Macaca fascicularis: one gene and its partners. The protein of the gene in region 3 interacts with the protein of the main gene of each other region in a pairwise test. Links are inferred from orthologs where the notes say so. Each region holds a gene or a part of one and is shown on either strand. Other genes may lie near its edges. The genes, in order: PLAAT4, ZG16B, SGTA, NAXD, C2H3orf52, EVA1B and FXYD7.

Region 1 (3,069 bases), on a different chromosome or scaffold from region 3:
AGCATTCCACCCAGGACCAGCTTGAGCCATGGCAATTTGGGCTTGGAAAGAATATTACTCCATCTAGTAGTCACAGGTGGGTGAGAACTCAGACCTTTGAGCTAAAAAAAAAAAAAACAAAAAACTTTCTAAAAAGAGGGCCAGTTGAGGAAGGGAACGGGGAAGATGCTGGTAGATGCGTAGGTGTTGTGAGTGGATTTAAGCACCACATGAGACTATACTGGGAGGTAATTAAGTTTTTTTTTTTTTACCTCCCTGAGAGTAAAATTAATGACATGCAATTACGTCAATGTTATGTCTGTGTAGAATGATAAAGATAATTCACTGAACATCTGTTACGTACCAGACATGGGGCTGGGTGCCGTGTATGCATTATCTTAGGTGATCCTCCTGACATCACCTGACATGGAAGAAATGAGTTTCAGAGAATCAACAGCCTTCTCCAAAGTCACCCAGCTGGAAATTGCTGGAACTATCCAGTGGGTGTTCACTCAATGTTACTTTCCTCCTTTGTGATTCAGAAGTCTATAAAAACATGGTAGAATTCCTTTCTGAAGGGACAGATGGCTGTTTATTGATCCTTCAATCTTATTTCAATTAGATCATACTTTCACCAGCGAGAGAAGGAAACAGAGGAAAGGATCTAGAGAGAGCCTGAGACAGAGCACGAGGGTCAGGCTGCTGGAGGTGTGGGGGAGGCCTGGGACCCCCACATCTCCACTGGGACCCCCACATCTGCTTCTAATACAGGATTTTGTGGCTGCTTCAGGCTGTCACTTTTGGTATTTCATAATCGCAAAAGAGCATCCAGCAACAGCCGCTCCAATCATCGCGAACGCACCGACTTCAGCCGCGGCATTTTCCACCTGCAAAGCAAGCAGCTTTTGTTGAGCGTTCGCAGCAAGCCAGGCTGGCACTTTCTCCCTCCCAAGGGCCTGGAACTCCTCCCCGTCTCCCCTCTCTCCTGCCTCCCCTACGGCCTGGCATCTCCTCTTTTCTCTCCCAGCTGACTGGCTCAGAATCCTCTCCCAGAGAAGCCGTTGGCTGTATCCCCAGGGACTCCATTTTCTGGGCTGTGACCACTTCTTGGTGTTGGGTTTATCTGGGCTTGTCCTTAGAATGTGCCCATGAGATCCTTTTGAGAGAGCTTCCAGGTGAGGACATTTGTTCGGATTTGCGGCGAGGAAGAAGGTTTGTGCCTCACTTCCTAGGGCCAGAGCTCCAGGGGCCAGACTGGGGACTGTTTTGCAGTCTGAGTCCTCCTTGAGCTACACCGTTGCACAGGGAGGGCTGTGGCAGAAGCTGAGGGGAGACTTAGGGAGGCCATGGCCATATGCGTGCCCTGGGGTCACTGTGTACTATTCCCAACTGCAGCCTGGAAACTTCCATCTCCAGCTCTACTTCAGCCTAAACTCCAACTCCATGCCTTATCTCCACCTGGGCCTCTAATGGGCACCTCAGACATCACATGCCACGCCAAACTCTCGATTTCCCTCCCCAAAGCCTCTCCTCCTGCCATCATCCCCATCTCATCAAGGACGCGCATCCATTCAGTCCCGCAGGCCAGGGGCCCTGAGCTGCTACACGGCAGGCATCACAGGCACAGACTCTAGAAAGGACAGCCCGGGTTTCAATCCTGGTTCTGCCACTTATTAGTTGTGTGTTTTGGGGCAACAAATGTGAAAGACTATGAAGAGGCAAGGGATAGAGGCTGCAGATCTTACACACAAATGTCCTTGAGCTCTTACACAGGTCGGTGGACCCTGAGCGTCCCTTGCCTAAGTGCTCTTTGGGGGGTTGTGGGACCTGTCACGGTCCTGGGTTGGCCCAGATTCTCCTGATGACCCCTAGAACTTCAGGAGTCATTTTCAGGATAGGGTTTAGAGGGGAAGGATCCTCAGAGGTCCTCCATCCACCCACTCTGCACATGGAGAGGCCTGGAGGGGAAGGGACCTGTCCAAAGACCCTCTGTGGATTAGAAGCAGATCTGGCATTGGAGCTCAGAGGTCCTGACTCTCAGTCAGTGGGTCTCCAAGAGGCTGCGTTTGCATCATTCACGGTGATCGCCTGGTTGCATAGCCCAGTGAGTCCAGCCCCAAGCAGACCTCCCCAGGGGAGATGGATTATCCAGAGAGATCCTTACCTGTTGACAGTGGGACCTGCCATATCTCAGCTTGGTGACAAAGTGTTCACAGTTCCTGCTCACAATACTGTACTTCATCTTCTGACCAACCAACTCCTTGGCAGAACTGATGATCACCCCCACGGGCAGTGGTTTGAACCTACGGTCCAAGCTGTTGTTGACCCGATAGTTACAGCCTTCCAGCACATCTTTCAGGAGCTCCTGTTTCACCACTGCAATGCCGCCCGGGACTGAGAAGGCACTGGAGGAGCTAGCCGCGGGGTACCCATCTGCAATCAGAGGCATTCTCATTGGCAGGGGAAGGTGAAGTAGGGAGAGAAGGGCTTGAAATCTCCACTAGGGAACTACTGCTGTTTATCCTTTCACAAATGTGACTGGAGGATTCACAGATTTGGCTTTTTTTTTTTTTTTTTTTTGGACGGAGTCTCGCTCTGTCGCCCAGGCTGGAGTGCAGTGGCGCAGTCTCAGCTCACTGCAAGCTCCGCCTCCCGGGTTCACGCCATTCTCCTGCCTCAGCCTCCCGAGTAGTGGGACTACAGGCGCCGGCCACCACGCCCAGCTAATAGATTTTGCTCTCTCTTTTTTAATCAAATAAGGTGTGAATGTTTGTTCAAGTCAGTGAATGTCATGATTGCCAGTGGCTGCTACCATATTCCATGCTATGCATGTGCATCACTTCTGTGGCCAATCCCCTGTTATCAGTCATTTAGGCATTGGAAAAATTTTCATCATTATAAGCAATGATGGTAAAGCATATTTATTACCTGTTCAGCTTTGTACACTCGTGTTTTGGAAAAAGATCCACTTCGTTTAGTACCCGCTGTTTCAGTTACCATGCTGTGCTGTTACACATACTTCCTAATTTAATTTCCTTTTTAACTTTCAAGGAAAATACTATCATCTCAATTTAAAAACCAGTATCGGGC
Region 2 (3,125 bases), on a different chromosome or scaffold from region 3:
GTCCATTCAAGCTCTCTTGGGGCCTGCATCGAGCTCAGCCTGGGTCCTAGGAAGCCTGCCAGGCACCAGGTGCTGCTTGAGTCTGAAGGAGGCCCTGACTCCAGGTCGCCCACGGTGGCAGGGGGCCCCACGGAGCTTTTGTGGACCCTTGACCTGTTACCCTCGGGTGGAAGCCAATAAGCCAGCCTCTCCCCAACTCTGCCATCCAGGTCGGCACCAGTGTTGACTGAGAGAGCCCAGAGGTGATCGTGAAGTGCCTGTCACTGTCCCCAGCTCTGTTTATGTAGGCTGCAGAGCCAAGACAGCAAATGCCACACGTCCGGGAGCCTCCCCAAGGCCGGCCCTGGGCCTTCCCCCAGGAAGAGCCCCACGGCCAGCTCCTTCCTGTCCCCCTGGTGGCCCCTTGCTCCTTCCTTCTGGATGGGGGCCCAGAGGGCCCAGGAGAGTATAAAGGCCATGTGAAGGGTGCCCAACACAATCAGACACCCAGTCACAGGCGAGGTAAGGTGCTTGGCTCCATGGGTGGGGCCCAGCGAGGCCACACTGGCCCTTGCTTTGGAGTCAGGAGGCCTCTCTTCTTCCCACAGAGCCCTGGGATGCACCGGCCAGAGGCCATGCTGCTGCTGCTCACGCTTGCCCTCCTGGGGGGCCCTACCTGGGCAGGGAGTAAGTCGGTGGAGTCTGCCCTCAACCTCCCCTGCCTCCCTCCAGGAGAGCCAGGGCCTCACCCGGCCCTTGTCCCAGACTAACTCTGGTCACAGAACCATCCTGTCTGCCTGGAGGGGCGGGGTCCCCTGTTCTGGCAGAGGTTGCCCCCATATCACTGAGTGGGGATTTTCTTCCCTTTTGTTCTCTTTTCTGCAGAGATGTACGGCCCTGGAGGAGGCAAGTATTTCACCACCACTGAAGATTACGACCATGAAATTACAGGGCTGCGGGTGTCTGTGGGTCTTCTCCTGGTGAAAAGGTGAGTGAGGCCATGTCCCCACCCATCCCACAGTTTTAGGAACTCGGGGCAGCCGGTAGGCACCTGTAGCCAGTTTTCCCACGCATGCCTGGCTCCCACCGATGCTTCATGGCTTGAGCAGAGGTCAGACCGTCCTCCCTACCTTCTCCCTTCAACCCAAGCTCAACTCAACCAAAAATGACCTCTCCGTCCCCATGCCTGATAGGAAAGTCAGGGAAAAGTCTGTCCGATTACTGTCAAAGAAGACAGGAGGTAAGGGTCAGAGTGGACCACTGACTGAACATGAGTCAGCAGAAGTGTTAGAGGCAGAAATCCAGGACCATTTCCTTCATATCGAGGTGTCTCTGCTGGAGGTCTGGGATGGATTTTTGCCCTGCACTTAGGAGTTCTGGGGTCCTGGGAGAGGGGAGAGAAGCCCAACAGCAGAGGAGACTGTGTGAGCATGGCGAGCTGGAGGGGTGCGTCCTAGGAGAGCAGCAGGGTGAGGGAGGGATGCAGATAAGCCCCGTCGGGGAAGTGCCGGTGAGTGTGGGAAGTCACCTGCCCCTCGGTCTGTGAGCTGCTCTGCTCAGAGTGACTAAGGCTGGGGAGGTCCAGGCTCAGCCAGAGGCAGCTCATATGTGGGCCACAGTGACGGCAACTGGTGCCTTCTGCAGTCACGTGGACCAGGCACTGCGCGGAGCTCTCCTCGCCTGGACCTCAGTGACTCCTCCCAAAAATCACATCCACTTTGCAGATGGGGAAACTAAGTCCGAAGAGGCTGAGTAATGAGCTCAAGATCACAGGGCCTGAAAGTGGTAGAACCAGGGTTGGTGACCAGTGAGTTTGTGTCAGGGACCCGAATTCTGATGGCGCTGGACTCTCTGCATCCTGGGAAGGAGGGTGGGGGCGCTGAGGACCCGGGATGTGCTGGGCCATCCCAGATCTGGGCGTCCAAAGCTTTGCCTCTCCCCCAGTGTCCAGGTGAAACTTGGAGACACCTGGGATGTGAAACAGGGCGCCTCAGGTGGGAATACCCAGGAAGTCACCCTGCAGCCAGGCGAATACATCACAAAAGTCTTTGTCGCCTTCCAAACTTTCCTCCGGGGTATGGTCCTGTACACCAGCAAGGACCGCACTTTCTATTTTGGGAAGCTCGATGGCCAGATCTTCTCTGTCTACCCCAGCCAAGAGGGGCAGGTGCTGGTGGGCATCTATGGCCAATATGGACTCCTCGGCATCAAGAGCATTGGCTTTGAATGGAATTACCCACTAGAGGAGCCGACCACTGAACCGCCAGTTACTGTCACATGACCATCAAAGGCACCCTCGGGTCTCTAGGGTGGGGTACGGGGCCATCTGAGCTGAGGCCATCCGGGTGGTGGTGGCTGATGGTACTGGAGTAACTGAGTCGGGACGCTGAACCTGAATCCACCAATAAATAAAGCTTCTGCAAAATCAGTGCATCCAGGATTGGTCCTTGCATCTGGGGTACAACCAAACCCTCCCCTGCTCCTTGGAGACAAAGGCCGCAGTGCTGGAGCCCAGTGAACTGAGATGAGGGATAGGGCAAAGGTGACTCTGCCGAGGACAGAAAGAGAGCAGCACCACCCCCTCAGGGGTGCTGTGGGTCTCTGTGCCAGTCCCACAATCTTTGAAGAGTCAGGCTTCAAGGCCACCACTCCCCACTGTCCCTCACCCCAGGCCCATCCAGCGGGCCTCTTCTGGCCACTCAGTCCCAGGCTTCTCTGAGTGTTCAAGGGGCCTCAGGGAAGCCACTCACTCACCCATTCACTCAGTAAATGTTTGCCAAGGCCTTGTCCTCACCAGGCTCTCCTGGCACTGGGGGGTATAAAGAAGAGGCCAGGCCGGGCGCGGTGGCTCAAGCCTGTAATCCCAGCACTTTGGGAGGCCGAGACGGGCGGATCATGAGGTCAGGAGATCGAGACCATCCTGGCTGACACGGTGAAACCCCGTCTCTACTAAAAAATACAAAAAACTAGCCGGGCGAGGTGGCGGGCGCCTGTAGTCCCAGATACTCGGGAGGCTGAGGCAGGAGAATGGCGTGAACCTGGGATGTGGAGCTTGCAGTGAGCCGAGATCTGGCCACTGCACTCCAGCCTGGGCAGCAGAGCGAGACTCCGTCTCAAAAAAAAAAAAAAAAAAAAAAAAAAGAAGA
Region 3 (4,190 bases):
ATCCCAAATCCACGTTGCTTCTCACCAACAGCAGGGCAGGAAAGCCAGGTGCCCTGCTCCTCACTCCCTCTCAGGACACCCGAGTTCTAGCTCAGTCCCCTGCCCACTCCCCACATCGAAGTCCACTTTCTTCTAAAATGCCACCAGGAGGTCACTGTACACATAAAAGCCCTCAAGTGCTCCCTGGAACCCCAGGAGTGTGCATAGGAGGCCCCCCCACCAGCTGGGGGTCGTCTGTGGGGCCTACACCAAACCCTGTACGTGCCACTCAAACTCAAGTGCTCACCTCTCCTGCCCAACTCTAGGAGAGAATCTAGTATTCCTGCAAACTCCATCTCTGGCCCAGCATCTCTTACAAGGCTTTCTACCTCTTGACAGACCCAGCTTCCCTTTGAACGCCAGCATCTGGCAGCGTCTAAACCCTATGGACTCAGGAAAGCCTTCGATGGTTGAAAAATTCACAGACACGTGGTCAAGTTCCTTGAAATGGGGAGGCCATTTCTCTCTGGGTTTCTGTTTCCACCTCAGTAAAAGAGAAAACGGGCCAGGTGCAGTGAGGCACGCCTGTAATCACAGAACTCTGGAGGCCAAGGTGGAGGATCGCTTGAACCCAGGAGTTTGAGACCAGCCTGGGTAACACGGTGAAACCCTATCTCTAAAACAACAAAATACTAAAATTAGCCGGGTGTGGTAGTGCACACCTGTAGTCCCAGCTACTCAGGAGGCTGAGGTGGGAGGGCCTGAGCCCGGGAGGTCGAGGCTGCAGTGAGCGGAGATTGCGCCACTACACTCCAGCCTGGGCGACAGAGCAAGACCTTATCTCAAACCACCCCTTTTATGCCTTCGGCCTGTACCGAGCACTTCCTACCAGGGCCACTGTTGGGTCTTGGCAAAAAAACAACCATAGAATTGAGTAAGACTGCCGCTCTCAAGGATCCGTCCAATCTGGGGCAGAGCTCACCCCCATTTGGAATCATTCACCCTTCTAGGAAGATTTAATTATAAACCTCAGCTCAAATCCTTGGCGCGCTTACAGCTTTCCAGGCACCCAGCTAAGTGCTGTACATGCGATAGCTTATTTTAGGGGTCAGCAGAGGTTTTTCTGAAAAGGGCCAGACTGTCTTCAGCTCGGCAGGCGCTAAGGTCCCTACGGCAACTGTTCAACTGTGTCTTCTTAGCTCGAAACCAACCACAGGTAACATGCAAACCAAGGAGTGTGGCTGTGTTCCCACAAACCTTCATTCCCAAAAACAGGCCAGAGGTGGATTTGGCCTTCTGGTTAGCTGATACCTTGCCCGGTTGAATCCTCACACACCTGAGGTGGTTACTTTTATAATCCCCATTCCACAGAAGAAAAACTGAGGCTTGGAAAGATGGGAACCACCCAAGACCACCCAGCTAGGAGGATGCAAATGAGGCGTTCTGAACCCAGGCAGCCTCACTTGAGAAGCTAAACTCCAAAGTGCCCACTTCTCGCCACACAAAATTGGGTGCACACACAAAACTTTGTATACCATTTCCCGGGCCCACACACTCCCAGCTGCCCATGCTGGGGAAGAATCACTGATCTAGGGTAGGTTTTTTTTGTTTTTTGGTTTTTTTTGACAGGGTCTCGCTCTGTCACCCAGGCTGGAGTGCAGTGGCGTGATCTTGGGTCTCTGTAACCTCTGCCTCCTGGGTTCAAGGGATTCTTCTGCCTCAGCCTCCTGAGTAGCTGGGATTACAGGCGCACGCCACCATGCCCAGCTAAGTTTTGTATTTTCAAGAGAGACGGGGTTTCACCACATTGGTCAGGCTGGTCTCGAACTCCTGACCTCAGGTGATCCACCCGTATGGTAGGGTGTGGTTTTTAAAGCGTTATTGACATTCAAAGTTGGATCGTTTTCTGGGGTGGGGCCGTCCTGGGCACTGCAGGGTGCTGAGCAGCAACCCTGGCCTCCACCGACTCCAAACCAGGGGGTCCCCTGAATCGTGAAAAGCACAAATGTCACCAAGAATCTCTGGGGCACAGAATTGTTCCTGGTTGAGAACCACACTGGTCAAGGGAGGGAAAAGGCAGAGAGAACGAATAATCAGAGACAGAAGCAAAAGTAAACGGGACAATGATCCAACCTCTGAGAGGCACATTGCACTGCAATTTTCTGCCACCTAATAACAAAAACAGCTGTTCTCAAGCCAGCTCTCTCTTATCAAGTTCCAGGCACCTGATCAAATCATTGAATGTGGGCTTATCCTCATAATGACCCTCCCAGACATCTGCTTTTACAACTCGTTTACGAAAAAGAAGGTTTGCTCAGAGAGGGAAGGCAACTCATCCAGGTTTACACAGCGGGTGGGTGGTGGTGGTGGGCTGGTTCTGAATCCCAGATTTCCCCCACCTCTAGCACGATATGCAGAAGAAGACTCTAAACATGAAATAAGACGAACGGCTGCTAATTCTTTGGAGTTCTCAGATTCCGCTGGACCCTGCGGCGGCTCTCATTCTCCCAGGCAGGGACTTCTGACAACGCCCGTTTTACAGACGGGAAAACTGAGGCTCCGAGAAGCCAAGAGGCTGGGCAAGGTCACCCAGGTAGGGACTGGCGACGCTGGGACCAGAGCCCCGACTTGAGTCCCCACAAACGGGGGTCCCCGAGTCACAGGGACGACTTTTCCAGGCAGTTAGTAAGAGCGGAACGGCAGCGAACACCCAGCGAGCGCTCAGTACATGCGGGGCGCCTTCCCCTCCAGCCGTCCTCGCCACCAGTCCGCGGACCAGCATTTCCAGGACCTGGGGCCCGGGGAAGGGAGATCAGGGCTCGAAGGGCCTGCCGATGCCGCCCGGCCTCAGTTTCCCCTCCGCTCCGCCTACTCACAGGACCCCGCGGGTCGCGCTGACCCTGGCCTCACGATCCCCAACCTCTTACGGGCTCTGGGGCCCCGTGAGCCCCGAGTCGCAGACCCCACACCCGCCAGGCTCAGCACAGTGCCCCTCACTCACCTCTCAGGCGACCGATCCCCGACCCACCGACGGTTGCGCTTGCGCACCGCGGAGCCGCCCGGCCCCGGCCCCCGGGCGCGACGCCTGCGCAGAAGAAGGGCTCCCCGGGTTGCTTCCCTTCTGCACAGGCGCGTTAATGATCGAGGTGGGCGTGGAAGGAAGTGACGCAACGTAGAGGCGGGAACCAGCTGGTCGTTAGGGCAACTGACCTCTACGACCTAATGGAGGCCGGAAGTCGGGGCTGGTTTGCCCTCTAGGGCGGGAACGAAGCGGTGCACGGTGGAACAGTGGCTGACTCCAGCCGGTCGCCGAGCTGACCACGTGGTGCTGGGCCGGCCACGTGGTGCAGCCGCGTTTGGCCACCTGGACTCCAGAGCGTCATAGCCCCGCAATGAATGGGAGTCAGTGTTGTCCGCTCGCTATCTTTGTTCATTTATTCACCCACCCATCTACTCACCCACAAATGCATTCTTTCATGCAGTCAATTTATGAGACGCTTGTGAGAATAGAAACATTAGTAGGCAGCAGGTGCCTAATATTCCATATTTATTGCAAACCAGTCATAAAAACCAGCAAAGTGTCTACTGTCATTATTTTGCATTGGGGTAGACGAACTATAAACTAATAAACTAGTACATAAGTAGATAAACAAGAAATTTCACAGCTAACACTACAAAAAAAATGAAGGTGGTGTGATTGCCACCGGGAGCTAAGTTGTATGGTATGGGTAGGAAAGATCATCCTTTAGATTTGGATTTCAAGGATAGGAAAAAGTCCAAACGGACCCCAGGCACAGGGAACAGCAAAAATGAAGGCCAATGTAAAAGCTTGGTGTGCTCAAGACATATGGAAAAAAAAATAGAGATGAGAGATGAGAAATTTCCAAGGACGACAGAAAACTGATCACCATCTGAGTTATAATTGACAGAAATGTTCTCCCAATTCATTGTTGTCCTACTCGAAATACATGCACGATTAATGGCGTGGATTATTTTAATTTCTTTTGCAGAAATAAAGAAGGTGAGACCGGGCGCGGTGGCTGACACCTGTAATCCCAGCACTTTGGGAGGCCAAGGGGCAGATCACTTGAGGTCAGAAGTTCGAGACCAGCCTGGCCAACATGCTGAAAACCTGTCTCTACTAAAAATACAAAAACTAGCCGGGCGTGGTGCGGGCATCTGTAGTCCCAGCTACTCGGGAGGTTGAGGCA
Region 4 (3,725 bases), on a different chromosome or scaffold from region 3:
TCCTGGTCCTCACACTGTGCTCTTTTCACACTCATTAACAGTGTGTCCTGGTCCTCACACTGTGCTCTTTTCACACTCATTAACAGTGTGTCCTGGTCCTCACACTGTGCTCTTTTCACACTCATTAACAGTGTGTCCTGGTCCTCACACTGTGCTCTTTTCACACGCATTAACGGTGTGTCCTGGTCCTCACACTGTGCTGTTTTCACACGCATTAACGGTGTGTCCTGGTCCTCACACTGTGCTCTTTTCACACTCATTAACAGTGTGTCCTGGTCCTCACACTGTGCTCTTTTCACACGCATTAACAGTGTGTCCTGGTCCTCACACTGTGCACTTTTCACACGCATTAACGGTGTGTCCTGGTCCTCACACTGTGCACTTTTCACACGCATTAACGGTGTGTCCTGGTCCTCACACTGTGCACTTTTCACACTCATTAACGGTGTGTCCTGGTCCTCACACTGTGCACTTTTCACACGCATTAACGGTGTGTCCTGGTCCTCACACTGTGCACTTTTCACACGCATTAACGGTGTGTCCTGGTCCTCACACTGTGCACTTTTCACACGCATTAACGGTGTGTCCTGGTCCTCACACTGTGCTCTTTTCACACGCATTAACGGTGTGTCCTGGTCCTCACACTGTGCTCTTTTCACACGCATTAACGGTGTGTCCTGGTCCTCACACTGTGCTCTTTTCACACACATTAACAGTGTGTCCTGGGGACTTTCACGGCAGGGTATGTGATATTCCTCATTATTTTTAACAGCTACATCAGAATTTACTACGGATCTACTGCAGTGTGTTTAACTAGTTCATTCACACTGTTTTCCGCTTTTTTTGTGTTAACATCAGTGGTGTCCTGAACCTATGTATTTTATCCACTCTTTTGGGTGTTAGAAGATAAATTTTTAGAAGTTCCGTTGCTGAATCGAAGAGTATGGACGTTTCAGTTTTGGAGAGATGCCTCCAGATTTCTCCCTAGCATACCGTGGTTTGCTTTCCCACGGGTGGGGACACCCTGCTGCGCTGGGTGCTCTGATGCACGTATCTTTCTAGGAGACCCATGTAACACTGCATTTTCCAGGGTTTGAATGTTCACTTTTGACTACTCTTTGCGAATACATTAAAAGAAAACACAGAAACAGATGAAAATGTCAGATTGTTGCCAAATCCTGCAACACAAAATCAGAAGCTGATCTAAAATCTGAACTAGCAGAAGCCTGCCGGCTTTACCGGTGAAGCCAAACTCAGGGCAAGCAGAGAATTTTTATTGTTAATAAAGGAAAGCAGCTTCAGGAAGTCTCAGGTACCCACCTCCTGGGAACGGGCTTCAGGACACACTGCTAATGCTCCGACCCGTGTCAGAGCCAGGTATACGCTTCCCCACAGCTGGAATGGGCGTCACAAACAAGCTGGAACGAGCGCTTCGTTAGGCGAGCAGCTAACGCTTTGTCAGCTTTCAGCTTTCATTTCACATACCTGACGTTAGTTTTCAATACCTTAAATTATTCTGACTTGGCATGTATTTTGTTTAATGCTCTCTATCTTAATGTTTTCTACTATCAGGTGTCTATCAAGTCAAGATCACTTTACATGCTACTGCGGCATATAATCTTATCACAATATATTGGTTCATAATAATAAAAGCCACCAAATATTGATTACATATACGTGTATGTATCTATACATCTAGTTTTTTTTTTTTTTTTTTTAATAGAAAACCTTTGACACCTTCACTGTAATCCTATCAGGGAAAAATGATTCTGTTTATTATTGTCACTTACTACTTTAAAATATGTAAGTAAAGTGATATGAAAAATACATCATGACTAATGATTTGGGGAATTCTCAGGAATTCAGATTTCTCGCCTCCGAATGCTGCGGATTAGTATCTGTTGGAGAACTGGAAGCCCTCGCTGGGGCGGGGGGTGTGTCTTCATGAGTTAGCCTAAGAGCCCAGCTCTTGTTTATAGCATTTCCACTGGGCTTCGCCTTTCAGAGTTCCCAGTGTCCTGCCTTATTTAGGGGCTCTGCTAGTTCATTGGGTCTTTCTGCTTCTCTATTTTATTCATTTACTTGATTATTTTCCATTTATTGTTTGATGACCTGATGTTGCATTTAATTAAGAGTCTGCTCAATGTTCTTTCACTGCTGTTGGGAAAAGCGTCTTAGTCTGTTTCGTGCTGCTATAGCAGTGCCACCGACTGGGTAACTGACAATGAACAGGCGCTTACTGGCTCGTAGTTCTGGAGGTGGATGTCCATCTGGCGAGGGCAGAAGGGCAGGAGAGAGACACTTTATGCCCCTTTTAAAGGTCATTAAACCCACCCATGAGGGCACTGCCACATCACCTTTTAAAGGCTCCACCTCCCAGGACCCTTCCATTGGCAATTAAGTTTCACCGTGAGTTTTCAGGAGACACCATCCACACCATAGCAGAGGCAGCAGGTGTGGTACTCAGCCTGGTTTTCTCTTCTGGCAGGGCATTTTGGAAGCATCAAAGGCCAGGGACATCCCTGTCGTCATTGACGCGGTGAGTTGACCTCTCTCCTCCTGGCTCGGACTCCCGGAAGGCCTGTGCAGTGAGCACGGCTCCTTGTTCTGTGCAGGACGGCCTGTGGCTGGTCGCTCAGCAGCCAGCCCTCATCCAAGGCTACCAGAAGGCGGTCCTCACCCCCAACCACATGGAGTTCAGCAGACTGTATGATGCTGTGGTGAGTCAGTGGACTCCCTGGAGGGTGGATGCAAGCCCCATTCGTCCTGAAGAGGGTGAAGGACGCGCTCCATGCTTCTGCCCAGCCTGTCCCTGTGGGCACATCTCTGCAGGGATGCAGACCTGCAAGTAATCGCTGTGCCTCTCCCGGTGGATGGCCCGTCTTCGCATTAGTGCTCTTGGATTGGATGAATGATGGTGTAGTGGGCTTGGGACAGGCAGGGACTCGGGTCAGCCAGCCCCTCCTGCAGCACACTGGACAGATCACTTTCTGTGTCTTGAGTGCCTCGTCTATAATGTGATGATGGCATCTACTTCACGGGGTTGTGAGGATGAGATGAGGAAACCTGTGTGAAGCTGTGAGTCCCACACGGTGAGTGTCCCGTCAGTGTTAGCGTCCAGTACAACTGGAATTCGTATTACTCCTACAAAGCTCTCAGAACCCAGCCTTGGGCGGTCCTCCTTCAGCCTGCTCTGACCAGGTAGAGGACGGGCACTGCAGCAGGCACCGTGTCGGCGTCTGCCCGGAGGACTCGCTGCAGGCGACATTCTGGGCTTCCTTCCACCTACGTGGCCTTTAGCAGGTGCCTGGGTGATCCCTTTAGGCACGAGAGCGTGCGTCTCGTGGCGGACGGGACAGGGCCATCCGTCACGTCGTGTGTCGTGTGTCTGAGGAAGACTTTGCTTTTTCTGTGTCTTCCTGTGTTGTCATAGCTCAGAGGCCCTGTGGACAGCGATGACCGCCATGGATCTGTGCTGAGACTCAGCCAGGCCCTGGGCAATGTGACGGTGGTCCAGAAAGGAGAGCGCGACATCCTCTCCAATGGCCAGCAGGGTAAGTGGCGGCTGCCCTCTGTGCATGGGCTGGTGCCAGGTCAGTCAGCGTGGCCGTGCTGAGTGCGAGCCCTGGAAGACCTCTCCCGTGCACACGTGTTCACGCGCATTCGCACAAAGGGATTCCTGCTGTCACCCACACCTTCTCCGGAGTCCATGTTTTGACTTCTCA
Region 5 (4,519 bases), on a different chromosome or scaffold from region 3:
ATCTTACTTGCCTCAAAACTATCAATTTACTGGTTTATTATTCTTCAAATGATGTTGCCATCTCTTAAAATGCCTCTGGGATTTCTATTTGAAAACTGAGCCAGAGCCCCTGTAATGAACCATAAAAGAAAACCAGCCTCACTCTATTACCCATAATTTCTTTTTCACTTTTGATCCAAGCATACTGCCATGTTTACAGTGACAGCAGGCAAAGTAGAGTTCAGCGGCTTCTATTCCTTTGTCTCAAGTGCCAAGCACACATCAAGAAAGGGAAAGAAGTTCTTTCTACTGCTTTTGTTCACTCTCCCATCACAGCTCTTCCAAGGAAGAAGAGAGATGTCTTCTTCCCAATCATTCCAGAACTGTTCCCGATTCCTCACCCATCCACCTGCAACTCCATCATTCCAGATGTGACACTCAACTCCTAGCTCACTTAAATTACCTAATTATAAATTACCTAACTTACAGAAATTAGTAATAATTAATAATGTAGGCAACTATAAATAAATGAGTATAAATTATATATGACATATATTTAAATTAAATGCTGATAGATGATAGATGATTGATAGATAGATAGATAGATAGATAGATAGATAGATAGAATAAATCAACAGAAACAGCATAGTTTTGAGATCTAAAAAACATACATTCAAGCTTCAGAGGCACCACTGAGGGAACGTGAGCATTTTGGTAACTCCTCTGAGCCTCCCTCAATTTCTTCACTCAGCATCTTTAATCTGACAAACCAGAATACTGATGCCTTCCTCTTAAGTTAGCTGTGATAATTAAATGCATTTATGCATCAAAAGTATTTGTCACAAGACAGTCACTAAACAGGGTGAATGAAAATACATGAACTTCAGCTACATTGCAAAATTAGAAATCTTAATATACAGTTCAAAGAGACCAACACACAAAATTCTTAAGTGTCTGAATCTTGTCTGAATCTTTTTAATAAGCCTATATTTATTGACTTTTCTAACTGAAATACACTTCACCTTATTTTATAGAAAAAAAAAAGAATGATTATCACATTAGGTGATGCTTTTTTTTTCTTTGTTAAAGATTTCCCTTTAACAAAGTCCAAGCATTCCTTGAACACACTCCAAGTGCTCCTGTAGCCCTTCACCTTCACTCCATCCTGTTACTGAGGACAGCTCTCCTATTGGGTGACCTACAAAGTTAACTTACAAAGAAGTCTAGGCTATCTGTACATACCTTACTAACAAGGACGTCATGGGAACATGAAACAACCATTGCTACAGGGTAGGTGCTAAACAATTACAGAATACTGATAACCCTGCATGGATTTGGCGTGTTCTACCCATCACCTGTTTTCAACAAGGCATTCCCGGGCCTCACAGAAGTCCGAGTAGGCACACATTACCACTACGGGACAGCCTTGCCCCTGGGACACATTGTTTAGTGGTGAAACTGTCACCAGATCTCTGGATTCAGTCCCAAGCTAGGGAGTTTTTAGGGTGTCCGGGTCTGTCTAATCTGAGGCAAGTATTTCCAACTCCCATTCCCAGACACCGTCCTGGAGGACCCATACAGCAAGTTCACAGTTGTGGCCACTTGCACTGGTGACCAGACTATCTTTGTTCAACCTTCATTCTTCTGTGGCATTCATATTTTATTCAGAAAGAAGTTTCCAAATTACTCTCCAGAGTACCTATAAAAGCAAACTTTGCAATAGTTCCAGGAATCAATGTAGAGCAAAAGCAATGCTTTCAACTTTTGAATTTCCTGCTTATCCCTAAAATCAACAGCTGGGCAGCCAAAAAGTTGGAGGTGGAGGAGTGGGGCCTAGAAAGATGAGGTCGGGGCTCAATATGGGGAGTTCTGTGTACCCAGAAAACCTCAAGCCAATCTTAAGAGTTAATCAGAAGGTGGATGGCTGGGAAGTCAAAGCTCTGATGTTTTACAAGTCTTTGATGAGAGCGAATAATGTTTCCATCATTGCTAGGGTTGAAGCAGAAAAGAGCTTGGCCTAAAAATTGCCAGGGATTGAGAGGAGGTAAAAGCAAGGTGGGCGAAGTCTCATCCTTCGAGACAAGAACTTTGAACTTATTTTCTTTCAATTGAGCAGGGCAAGTTCACCTCCACCTGCCCCCCCGACCCGCCCGCACCATCCCCACGCCAGCCCTAGTCCTTCTCCTTCGGACCGCTTTCTCTCCTCTGTGCTCTCCCCTATCTCTCTTCCTGCAGAATCGAATGGCCAGGCTGGGAGAAGGCAGAAAGTGCTTGGCGGATGGTAGGCATGGAAGAGGGCTGGGAGCTGCGGCGAGGTGGGTGGAGGCAAGGGAGAGACGCGGCAAGGCAGTGAAGGTAAGGGGAAAGCTTAAGAGATTCTTAGAGAAGGAGGATACTCCATCTGTCATTCTCATTCTCCCTACTGGAAAAAAGAAAAACTGAATTAAAAGTTACATAACTTTAAAAAACTACCTCTATCTCCGGAGTATCTGAAGACAGGAGCGGCCACACCTCACCCCTAGGATTCCTAAAGCGCCTCGGGGGTCGGAGGGGTTGGACGACCCCAGGGGCTGGGGAGGGGACTGCTCCGGCCGAAAGGTGTCGCGGTTACTCGGCTCCATTCAGAGCACTCGAGCGCGCCCCACCCTCGCTCGGCGCCGGCGACGCCCCGCCTGGCTGGAAACCCGAAACTCGCGGGTGCCAGGCCCGGGTCCTACTACTGTCCCGCCGCTGGCAGGTTAGGGCCAGCGCCAAGGGGACCTTACCTCGGCCGGGGGGGCCTCCTCGTCCAAAGAAGGGAAGACCTTGACCGCACCATTGAGAGGCGTGTGCTCGTTTGGCTGCCGCACGAGCACCGAGAGCTCCAGCTCGTCTACGGGTGGTGAGGGTTGGGCCAGGTCCATGGGCGGGCGGAGAAGGTCTGAGCCGCTCCGAGGGAGGCCACAGCGCAAGGAGGGTCGAGTGACCTCACCGCCTCACACTCCACCCACTGGGCGGGGCGCAGCGGACTTCGGGCGGCGGGAGCGACCGGAGCCGACAGGAGGGGCGAGCGGTGAGTGGCGGCCACTCCCCGGAGCGGGTAGAGCACCTAAAGCCGTGCTCGCAGTGGGCTCTAGAGCCGAGGGCTGTTTTTCTGGTTTGTTCAGGGCGCTGCCTGCTGTGCCTTTCCCCGCGCCTGCAGATGCGGACCATCTGCGTTTAGGGGCTGCCTGGGTGTCGGGCTGTGGTAAGGAAAAGATGGGCCGGGCCGCACCGTCCAACGGAGGAAAGTTTGCGATCTAAGCCCACGAACTGTTGGTTGTTGGGGTTTGCCACAGTCCTCGCGGTCTAGCAAAAGTGCATTCATTCAATCAAGAAATAACCATGCCTCGTGCCAGCATGGTGCTAGGTTCTGAGTATATGAAGGTGAATAATATACACCAACACACTTCCTCGTCAAGTCCAGAGTCAGGCACAGAGACAGTATTGTGTGGTGCTGGGGACAGTGGACTCTAAAACCAGTGTACCTGGGTTATTCTCCACCCAGGGCGTTCCTCACTGTGAGACCTCGGGCTTCATCTCTCTGTGCCAATGTCCTCGCCTGGAAAGGTGGTGTAATATTTGTACCCTCCTAATATAGTTTTTACCAGGATTACAAGGGTTGCTGTAAGCAAGGCACTCAGAACAGTGATTGACACAGCAAGCACTCATAAATGTTGACCATTACTATTTATCTTTGAGGGGAGGGGCCTTACACACACACACACACAAAATTCCTGCGCACACACAATCTCCTTGACGCCCTATCTATAGTTCAGAACTTCCGGTTTAGTTAGCATGGAATTATGTTTGTTAAGCACAGCGTGGATTGGGCCAAGGGCTTCACCTCTCAAGCTTCTGTTCCGAATAGTCTTGTTCCTTATTTTCACCCTCCACGCAACACACACACACACACACACACACACACACACACACACACACACACACACATTAAGACCAGATCATTAACAAGAAGCATATAAATCAGCTCCACTCCAAATATGTTGACTTGAGTCCAAAAGTCTGGCATATTCAGTGCCTGATGTTGAGACACAGCCTAGCTATCCTGTCTGCAGTTGTCTGGTGCCTGCTACCAGATCCCCTGAACTTTGGATCCATCCGCCTGCTAAGGGGAGTCTGCAGTGACTCATCTGCTGACCTGCACTGACTTCTGCTCCAACAGGCAGATCCTGCAAGAATCAGGCTGCATTCTCAGCTGGGAGTTTTGAACAGGAATTTTAACCAAGGAGCAAGGGTTAAGGGAATCAACAAGGAATGGTGAGGTACCCAGGGACTAGCAATAGCACGAAGCTGTTAACACTGTTAACACTCCTAGGCCTAAATGGGACTGGAGACTGATTAAGAACTAGAACCACTGAAGGGTGTGGGAATTTGCAGGGAGATCTTGATAGGATCTGTAGTCACAAAAACATGCAGACCTGACTGGAAGCACTGAGACCTCTCAAACTTCTGAATCTCCCCACCCCCATCCTTATCCAGGGTCCAGAAAACTTTTCTCATA
Region 6 (4,287 bases), on a different chromosome or scaffold from region 3:
TTCACTCTTATCCTTTGCCTGCTTAGTCTTCCTTCCCTTCTCCTCCTCACTACCACTCCATCTACAACGAACCATCCAACAGGCACACACAATACTTAACCAAACCAATCCTGACCTCGCACAAAACTGCTGGTTTTGTGTCCGCCCCTCAGAAACCATATCAAAAAATGCCTTCTCGGTCCCACTTCAAGATTGGACCCTCACCAGCACGACACTCCATCCTCGCTATCAACGCTCCGGAGGGGTAAATGCACTTAAAAGTTACAAAACTGACCTCACCCCCTCCACCTCCAGGAACAAAGTTATCTTAGGGGCATTTACATCTGATACCAAGTTAGACCAACAGGCACCCCTTTGTATACTGCGTGACCTTCCCTCAGGAACCCCTTTAGGCAGTCTCCCCACAGGCTCATGCAACTACATCCTACAGCTCACCCCACCTGCTGGTATCCAGGTGCTAACAATATACAATCCCACTCAAGTATTCAAATTTTCTGGCCCCCCAAAAATCCAAACCACTAATCTCAACACAATAAACTCAGGTTTCTGCATCGATCGACACAAACCCGGTATGACAATTGCAGGATGGACTGCGTGCCCTAGCCCGCACCCAACCTCCAATTGTCTACAAACTCAGGTAGCCAGAGCCCCCACTGGGGAACAACTTTTAGTGGACACACAATGTTTCCTCCTACACTGGGAAAACGAAACAGTAGGGCTAGCCAACTAACCTCAACCCGCCCCTTCCAGCCACTCACCCCGGCGGCCCTGTCTTCCTCTCTCTCTGGCTGGTGGTCAGAAAACAAAATCCTAAAGCCCCTCTTTGCCACAGAACTCCAATTTTGCCTTCCTAGCCAGGGCATATTCTTTCTCTGCGGCACTTCCACCTATCTCTGCTTACCCACTAACTGGATAGGAACCTGCACACTAGTCTTCTTTAGTCCAAAAATAGACATAGCCCCTGCGGATAGACCCCTACCCTTCCACAATCAAACACTATCCCGCAGACACCGAGCCATACAGCTCATACCCCTGCTAATAGGGTTAGGCATTACAGCAGCTGCAAGAACTCGAGTTGCAGGAATTGCAGCCTCTACCTATTACTACAAATCCCTATCCAAGGACCCCTCCGATAACACTGATGACCCAGCATCCACTGTATCAACCCTGCAGGCCCAACTAGACTCCCTAGCCGCAAGTAGGCCTTCAAAACCTCAGGGGCCTCGATTTACTTACCGCAGAAAAAGGAGGTCTCTGCCTCTGCCTAGATGAAGAATGATGCTTCTATTTCAATCAGGCAGGCCTGGTTCAAGATGCAGTTAAAAAATGAAAGGACTGGCCAGGCGCGGTGGCTCAAGCCTGTAATCCCAGCACTTTGGGAGGCCGAGGCGGGCGGATCACAAGGTCAGGAGATCGAGACCACAGTGAAACCCCGTCTCTACTAAAAATACAAAAAATTAGCCGGGCGCAGTGGCGGGCGCCTGTAGTCCCAGCTACTCAGGAGGCTGAGGCAGGAGAACGGCGGGAACCCGGGAGGCGGAGCTTGCAGTGAGCCGAGATCGCGCCACTGCACTCCAGCCTGGGCAACAGCGTGAGACTCCGTCTCAAAAAAAAAAAAAAAAAAAAAAAAAAAAAGAAAGGACTGGCCAGGCATGGTAGCTCACGCCTGTAATCCCAGCACTTTGGGAGGCCAAGGTGGGCAGATCAGGAGGTCAGGAGATCAAGACCATCCTATCTAACCCAGTCTCTACTAAAAATACAAAACATTAGCTGGGCGAGGTGGCGGGCGCCTGTAGTCCCAGCTACTCGGGAGGCTGAGGCAGGAGAATGGCGTGAACCCGGGAGGCGGAGCTTGCAGTGAGCCGAGATAGCACCACTGCACTCCAGCCTGGGTGACAGAGCGAGACTCCGTCTCAAAAAAAGAAAAAAAAAAATTAAAGGATTGGGCTCAAAAAATCCGGGAAAACAGCTCTTCCACGTGGCCCCTCCTGGCCCCTATGGCCGTTCAGCTCCTGGGCCTCCTGGCTACTCCCACTCCCTGTACCCGTCATATTCATTCTCCTTTTCCTAATCTTTGGGTCCAGCCTCTTACATCTCTTTATCCAGTGTTTTTATTTTTATTTTATTTTTATTTTTGTGAGACAGAGTCTCACTCTGGCGCCCAGGCTGGAGTGCAGTGGCGCGATCTCTGCTCGCTGCAAGCTCTGCCTCCCAGGTTCACGCCATTCTCCTGCCTCAGCCTCCTGGGTAGCTGGGACTACAGACGCCCGCCACTGCGCCCGGCTAATTTTTTGTATATTTAGTAGAGACGGGGCTTCACCGTGTTAGCCAGGATGGTCTTGATCTCCTGACCTCGTGATACACCCGCCTCGGCCTCCCAAAGTGCTGGGATTACAGGTGTGAGCCACCGCGCCCGGCCGCGCCCGGCCTCTTTACCCAAGTTTTTACAGAACCGCATCTGAGCCTTTATCCACGGAACCATACAAGACATGATGCTACTCCAAGAATACCAGCAATTTCAAAGCCAGAACCAAAACTAACCCCTACCTTCCAGCCTCTCCCCCTAACCACCACTCCCTCTCAGCCAGAAGCAGCCTGATGAGAACAACACCCCCTTTTCTATCATCTATTAAAAGGCTGGAATGTTAGGGTCACCCCGACCAGACTGTTCCTCTCCTTTCCCATGGGTCTTACAATACAGTCCTTTGTGACCTCCGCACAGCTCCCCGAAGGCTATCGGCAAACTCCCCGCCACAACTGACCCTTCGAGTACCTGTTTGTCCGGAACACTTCAGCTGAACCGGCAAACGGTTCCAAGATGCGGTCAGAACACCTGCTAACTAAAGCTGGCAAAACCATCTCCAGGAGGCAATCAAGACACCTGCAGCCCAACTCGGTTCACACCCCTCGACCCAGTTCCTCGCCCTGTGAAGCCCTGCTGCAGTCTGTAAGTGGGGCTGCCTCCCCTGCCTGTCAAGGAGCAGCCTGGCAGGACAGATAAAAATGGCTCGCCTGACTTTGGGCCTACTCGTCCTTTCTCTCGGCTAACTGTACACAGGCCGTGCGGCGGAAGCACGCTTGGCTTGCTCAGGAGCAGGAGGCCCGAGCAGCAGGAATAGAGTGAGGGGTGAAGGGCTGGGAAGGTGGGGAGGTACCCAGGTGTGCAGACTCACGGTGTAGAGCTTTATAAGCCACACAGACCTTTGGATTTTCTCCTGCGTGGAGTGGAACCACTGCGTGGAGTGGTTGTAAACAGAAGAGGGACACAATCAGGGTTTTTGAAGGCTCACTCTGGCTACCACGTGCTGCCTGGACTGTGGCAGGGGAAGAGTGGGAGACCAGGAGGCCAGAGATGGAGGCTTAGGGTGGCTGCAGTGGAGCTGTGACAAGTGATTAGATTCTGCCTGTGTTCTGAAGGTAGGGCCAGCCGACAGGAGTAGCAGTGGCTTGGACATGGGGTGTGAGAGAGAAGGACGAGAGGGAGGGAGGGAAAGAGGGACGGAGGGACAGAGAAAGTCAAGGCCAACTTGGCTTCAGAGCCTGAACAATCCAGCCACCAAGACTGTTCCTCACTTCCTTTCCCACTTCCGCTAGTTTGACAGGTCCGGTTTGACTCTTCCCAGGGACACTGGAGACAGGGTGGCTAAAGGGGATGCCAGCTTCTCAGCTGTCATTTGGTCTGACCTTTCAGGGACACACGAGTGGTCGGTGTGACTGCACTAGTCCCACCCATCCTTCTGGTACTTTCCCCTTCCTTTGCTGCCACAGGGCTCACAGTAAAAACCTGTGAAGGAACAGCAATCCAGAAAGTGCACTTTTTTTGCTTTAAATTGACCAACTCACAGCCAAGAAGTTTAGATCAATACGCCAAACTGTTCAGGAGTGCCAAGGTGTACCAGGCCCAGACCCAGGTGCTGAGGAGGTAAGGGTGAGCAAAACAAAGCCCCTGCCTGCAGGGAGCTTCCTGTCTTGTGCTTTGCTGAATGTAAGAGTGACACGTGTAGGTGCCCAGGAGGTATCTGTGCCCTGAACAGAGGCTTAACGGGTGGCGGGACAAGAGTGAGGCTGAACAGAGACAAGGTCCAGAGCTGAGAGAGGCACTGGTGGATTGGAAGTGGGGCACCTCCCAGCAGAGCATCCAGCATGGGTAAGGCATGGGCCAAATGTAATGGGCAAAATATTTGGACAGCTGGCTGCTGGGGCAGGTATGGAACTGTGAGGTGAAGGGAGGAGTGAGGGGCCTGGGGCTATGCTCGGAAGCACTGCAGGGGATTAGCGCGTTCTCAT
Region 7 (4,447 bases), about 39 Mb from region 3:
GCCTGGATGACAGAGCGAGAGTCCATCTCAAAAAAAAAAAAAAAAAAAGAAGAAGAAAATGGTGAATTTTCCAGTTGTGATGGTGCTATAAAATAAAGCTCATCGTTTTTAAAAAGCTAATCCTGGGTTGGGCATGGTGGCCCACGCCTGTAATCCTAAGCACTTTGGGAGGCCAAGGCAGGTGAATTGCTTGAGCCCAGGAGTTTGAGACCAGCCTGGGAAACATGGCAAAACCTGTCTCTACAAAAAATACAAAAATTAGCTGGGTGTAGCGGGGAGTGCCTTGTAGTCCCAGCTACTCGGGAGGTTGATGTGGGAGGATAGATTGAGCCCAGGACTTTGAGGCTGCAGTGAGCTGTGATCGCACCATTGCACTCCAGCCTGGGTGACAGAGCGAGACCCTGTCTCAAAAAATAAAAGTAAAAAAGCTAATCGTTTGAAGGAAAAAAATTAAATAAATAGCAGTGTGAGGAGTATTTGAATAAAGTGAAAATTGTGACGGTAATACTCAAAAGCACCAAGATGGTGAAACACTGCCTCAGGGTCCCTTGTGCTCTGTGTAAGTTTCCCCACCAGAGAGTGAGTAAATTTGTTTGACTCATCGCTGCTGTTCATCCTGACATTTATGAAAGGCTCTCCAAGTTTTCTCGGATGAATGAATGAAGGAATGATTATGAGGCGGTCCTAGGCTGCAGGAGGCTGCAAAAGGTGGATTGTCTCACTAGTCTTTTCCACACACCTGCCCTTCCCCAAAGTTATCAGGAGCCCACTGGGTGAGCACCTGTCCCAGAATCTGGTGTTCCATGCAGGAGATCCTCCTCTGGTCCCTGCTGCCCCAGCAACCTGGGCCCCCAGGCGTGGCTGGGCTAAGGGTGGGGCCAGGAGTCAGGCAAAGGAATGTGCACTACTCCTGGCCAGCTGCCAAGGAGATATCAGGAAGGAGGTGGTTGCTATGGTAACTGGGGCATCTCGTGAGGTGAAGAGAGGTGATAGGTCCCGGCATCCCAGGCTGGGTGGGGTCCCTTGTGAGGTCCTGTGTAAGATGCGGGTTTCAATCTTGACCCTCTCCCCTCCTTTTGCACCTCCTGCTGTTGCCCCTGCAGGACTGGCTTCTGGCCAAGCTGAGGGTCCATTTCAGGGACAGGGACCCGGACCCAGCTGTGCTCATGCATCCCTCTTCTGTTCACCCCTAATTCTCCCGCCCGTTCTCTGGCAGGGCGGAGGGAGACAATCTCCCTTCTTCCCCCCTCGCTCCCCAACAATTCATTAATTAGTTTCCTTAAGCAGTTTGCAATGCACAACATGCTTTTCCTCCCCCGGGATTTCCCGAGACCCGCGGTCCCCTCTCATGCTGTGACTGGGAAAGGGGGAGGCAGAGGAGGTGGGGTTGAGGAGTCTGTCCTCCCACCTCTGCCCGTCTGCTGCCATCGATCCTGTTAACCACCACCTCTGCAAAAAGAAGCCCTGGGCTCCCGCCAGGCCTGCTGCCTCAGCCCTGCCCCCTCTCCCCAGGGTGGCTTCCAGCCTCTGCAGCCCCCCCCACCCCCCGCCCTGCTTCGGATTCTGCAGATATGGCTCAGTGCAGCAGCCCCCGCCTTCTGGGAAGCACGGAAGGGAGGGAGTCATCCAAGCGGAATTGGGGTTCCCTTCACGGCCAGGGGCTTCTCAACACCCCTGGTCCATCCCCTGCCCTCAGTGCTGGAGACCCTAGCTGGGCACCCGCTCCCTCTTGAAGCAGTCTGTGCCTTGCTCCTCTGCAGAAGCAGGCTTAGCAATGGGGGGTATTAGGGGGCAACGGTGGAAGTGGGTGTTCAACTGGGTGCATAACTGGGTTAATGGGTGTGGAATGGAAATCAGTGTGCGGCTGGATGGGGGCAGTAGGGGCAGTTAGGTGCATACCCAGGTACACCTCTGGGACTGGAAAACACCCCTGCTGTGGGCTGGGAAGGAGGGTCCCATCACCCCATTCCCACCCATGGGGGTTCACTGCAGTGGTTTGGGCCCCACCCCACACTGCTTCCTTCTCTTTCTATTCCCCTCTTTCCCCATGGGTCCGTCTCTCTCCCTCCCTCTCTCTGCTTCTCTCTCCATAGCAGTCTCATTCCCGCTATCTCCCAGGCTCTCATTTTCTCTCTCTCTCTCTGCATCTCTGTCTACCGTTCTTTGCCACTCGCCTCCACTGGGAATCTCTCTGAGTCCATCTATTTGTCTTCCTGGGTCTTTGTATCTGTGACTCTGGATCTCCTGCCTCTCGGTCTCTGTCTCTTCCAGGTTCTCCCTGTCCATCTCTTGCTATATCCCTTCTCGCTGTCTCTTCCTTCAGCTCTCACTCCTTTCCTCTGAACCTGGCTGTCAAGGGTTTCAGGAAACACACACCCTAGGAGACAGCACTGGAAAGAAGAGGGACATGAACCTCCTCCCCTTCCCTTGCCCACCCCAGGGACCCTGAAATCTTCCAGAACGTCTCTGGCCGCAGACCCACCCGCTCCCACCCTGCAAGCTCATCTCTTCCCGTCTGCTACCACCACGGTGCGGGACCAGCCACCCGGTTGCCATAGCGACCTGTCCGAGCATCCCTTCTCCCGGGACTGCCACTCTCCAACCGCAGGTCTGGCACAGGACACCCGCCGGGGAGGGGGTGTCCCAGAGACCCGGAGGGGCGATCGGGGGGCTGCATTACAGGGGCCTCCGCCCACAGAAGGAGCAGACCTCCCTCCCCCCACTCCCCTGCCTTACCATTGCTGGAATCTCCCGACACCCTCTCTCCTAGGCTCTCAGATCCCGGAGCCCCCCTGCAACCCCCTCCCCAGACGACGCTCACCCTTTGTGGGGGTCTGGGTCGGGGTCGCCATGCTGGGCCGGAGCAGGGGGCTGCTGGATGCCTTGGCGGCGAAGGCGCGCTGCAGCAGCTGGAAGCAGGACGGACCGATATGGGGGGGAGCTGGGGGGAGCCCTGGCGTGGGGGGGCCTGCAGCCAATGGGGGCCCGGGGAGCCCGCCCCCGTGCAGGCCACCCCCGCCCCCGCCCCCGCCCACCACCGTCGTCCCCGCCCCTTCCTCTAGGGTGGGGCGCCCCCTGCTGGGGCCCAGGGGCGCTGGGCTTTCGCGCTGAGGGACCGACACCGACAAAGTGCTGTCGAGAGGAACGCACGTTTTATTGGAAGTCTGGGCGGCAGGGGGAGTCTGCCGGGGCAGGGCTGGGGAAGGGGCGGCGGAGGGGGCGGTGGGCGCGCAGGTGGAGCGTGGGAGACGTCAGGTGCCAGGGGAGTCCTGTGGGGTGAAAAGGGTGAGTGAAAGGCGAGGGGGGAAGTCCAGCACCACCCCTCGCCGCCCTCCAACCCTGGCACTTGGCCCCTTCCCTCTCCCGCCTTTCCTTCCTCCCTCCTTCCCTCCCACCGCCGTGTCAGAGCTGCAGCACCTGGCCGGATTCCATCGCGCCAGGTGTTTCTACCGCCTGCGGGTGGACAGACCTGGGGGGAACACGGAGATCGGGGGTCATCAGGAGGGGCATCCCCAGCTCCTGGGCAGGCGGGGCAACTCCCCGCCCTCTGCTTTCAGATATAGCCCCTCCCTCTACGCAGCCGGGGAGGGCCAGGAAAAGGGGTCCTTGGAACCAGCCCTCTCCCCAAAATACCCGCAGTCTCCCCAGACTCACGGCGGATGGAGCTGCGGAAAGTTCCCTCCTCTTCATCGGGTTCCCCAGTCCTGGGAAGACAGAGGCAGAGGGACTTCGGGATGGAAAGGGGGAGAGGCTGCCCTTCTAGGAACCCCCAGTACAAGCCTCCTTTCCCAGACTGGTGTAACGAGGCCCAGATATGGACGAAGAACAGGCTCGGGGTCCGCCAGAAATAAGAAGCACCCAGGAGCAGCTTAAGTGCTTTGCAGGGGGCTTCCAAGCCGGTTAACAGTGAGTACCTCCGCGGATTTGGGGGCAGGGATGTGAAGTTGGTAAGGGAGGGATAGTCAAGGGGACTTGGCAGACTGTCATGAGATGGCCTGGGTTGGAAACCCAGAACCCCCCATCTTCCACTTGAGTGATCTTGAACAAAGTGACTTTACCTCCCTGTGTCTCAGTTTCTTTATCTGTAAAATGGGCTTAATAACAGCACCTCCCTCCCAGAGGAAGTGAAACCGTATCTGACACGTGGTACACACCCAATAAATATTAGCTACTGCTTATGATAATATCTATAATTGTTCTAACATATTCACACATGCTTTAACATTTTATTTGAAGAGGAATCAAAGAGCTAGGAACAGGACTCTAAGCTAAACTGGGCCGCGTGTGAGATGATCTCATTTCACCGCCGTTCTTTCTTTCCTGCACTTTGTGTTATCACGCTTTGTGATTTTTCTATCTGTGGAACCCACGGCCACCGCCTCCACTAGGCTGGGAGCTCGGCCAGGAAGGGCGGTAGGTTTTTTCCTCGCTTGGTCCCAGGGCCTGG

Evidence for each region.
Region 1: the proteins of SGTA (region 3) and PLAAT4 interact in binary tests that used the Homo sapiens proteins (3 or more experiments, as listed by UniProt). The two-hybrid records come from large-scale screens. The link is inferred for Macaca fascicularis from reciprocal best matches to the Homo sapiens genes SGTA and PLAAT4.
Region 2: the proteins of SGTA (region 3) and ZG16B interact in binary tests that used the Homo sapiens proteins (3 or more experiments, as listed by UniProt). The two-hybrid records come from large-scale screens. The link is inferred for Macaca fascicularis from reciprocal best matches to the Homo sapiens genes SGTA and ZG16B.
Region 4: the proteins of SGTA (region 3) and NAXD interact in binary tests that used the Homo sapiens proteins (3 or more experiments, as listed by UniProt). The two-hybrid records come from large-scale screens. The link is inferred for Macaca fascicularis from reciprocal best matches to the Homo sapiens genes SGTA and NAXD.
Region 5: the proteins of SGTA (region 3) and C2H3orf52 interact in binary tests that used the Homo sapiens proteins (3 or more experiments, as listed by UniProt). The two-hybrid records come from large-scale screens. The link is inferred for Macaca fascicularis from reciprocal best matches to the Homo sapiens genes SGTA and C3orf52.
Region 6: the proteins of SGTA (region 3) and EVA1B interact in binary tests that used the Homo sapiens proteins (3 or more experiments, as listed by UniProt). The two-hybrid records come from large-scale screens. The link is inferred for Macaca fascicularis from reciprocal best matches to the Homo sapiens genes SGTA and EVA1B.
Region 7: the proteins of SGTA (region 3) and FXYD7 interact in binary tests that used the Homo sapiens proteins (3 or more experiments, as listed by UniProt). The two-hybrid records come from large-scale screens. The link is inferred for Macaca fascicularis from reciprocal best matches to the Homo sapiens genes SGTA and FXYD7.

What each region holds. Positions count from the first base shown.
Region 1 is NC_088388.1:10,869,411-10,872,479, forward strand, and holds the end of PLAAT4 (phospholipase A and acyltransferase 4), read right to left. Parts: intron 2,413-3,069; coding exon 2,144-2,412; intron 867-2,143; coding exon 774-866; 3' UTR 549-773; downstream 1-548. UniProt on the Homo sapiens protein: Exhibits both phospholipase A1/2 and acyltransferase activities. Shows phospholipase A1 (PLA1) and A2 (PLA2), catalyzing the calcium-independent release of fatty acids from the sn-1 or sn-2 position of glycerophospholipids.
Region 2 is NC_088394.1:3,536,451-3,539,575, reverse strand, and holds the end of ZG16B (pancreatic adenocarcinoma up-regulated factor), read left to right. Parts: intron 1-474; exon of another isoform or gene 475-501; intron 502-587; 5' UTR 588-596; coding exon 597-666; intron 667-864; coding exon 865-967; intron 968-1,923; coding exon 1,924-2,260; 3' UTR 2,261-2,410; downstream 2,411-3,125.
Region 3 is NC_088393.1:3,463,580-3,467,769, forward strand, and holds the start of SGTA (small glutamine-rich tetratricopeptide repeat-containing protein alpha), read right to left. Parts: upstream 3,022-4,190; 5' UTR 2,981-3,021; intron 1-2,980. UniProt on the Homo sapiens protein: Co-chaperone that binds misfolded and hydrophobic patches-containing client proteins in the cytosol. Mediates their targeting to the endoplasmic reticulum but also regulates their sorting to the proteasome when targeting fails.
Region 4 is NC_088391.1:101,212,847-101,216,571, forward strand, and holds part of NAXD (ATP-dependent (S)-NAD(P)H-hydrate dehydratase), read left to right. Parts: intron 1-2,488; coding exon 2,489-2,539; intron 2,540-2,615; coding exon 2,616-2,720; exon of another isoform or gene 2,721-3,092; intron 3,093-3,433; coding exon 3,434-3,554; intron 3,555-3,725. UniProt on the Homo sapiens protein: Catalyzes the dehydration of the S-form of NAD(P)HX at the expense of ATP, which is converted to ADP.
Region 5 is NC_088376.1:170,999,464-171,003,982, forward strand, and holds the start of C2H3orf52 (TPA-induced transmembrane protein), read right to left. Parts: upstream 2,902-4,519; 5' UTR 2,883-2,901; coding exon 2,745-2,882; intron 1-2,744. UniProt on the Homo sapiens protein: Has a role in LIPH-mediated synthesis of 2-acyl lysophosphatidic acid (LPA). LPA is a bioactive lipid mediator involved in different biological processes, and necessary to promote hair formation and growth.
Region 6 is NC_088375.1:198,586,361-198,590,647, reverse strand, and holds the start of EVA1B (protein eva-1 homolog B), read right to left. Parts: upstream 2,864-4,287; 5' UTR 2,774-2,863; exon of another isoform or gene 2,723-2,773; intron 1-2,722.
Region 7 is NC_088393.1:42,383,912-42,388,358, reverse strand, and holds the start of FXYD7 (FXYD domain-containing ion transport regulator 7), read right to left. Parts: upstream 2,933-4,447; 5' UTR 2,853-2,932; coding exon of another isoform or gene 2,822-2,852; intron 2,614-2,821; exon of another isoform or gene 2,441-2,613; intron 1-2,440. Other genes in the region: FXYD1 (phospholemman), read right to left, coding at 3,447-3,469, 3,655-3,704. UniProt on the Homo sapiens protein: Associates with and regulates the activity of the sodium/potassium-transporting ATPase (NKA) which catalyzes the hydrolysis of ATP coupled with the exchange of Na(+) and K(+) ions across the plasma membrane.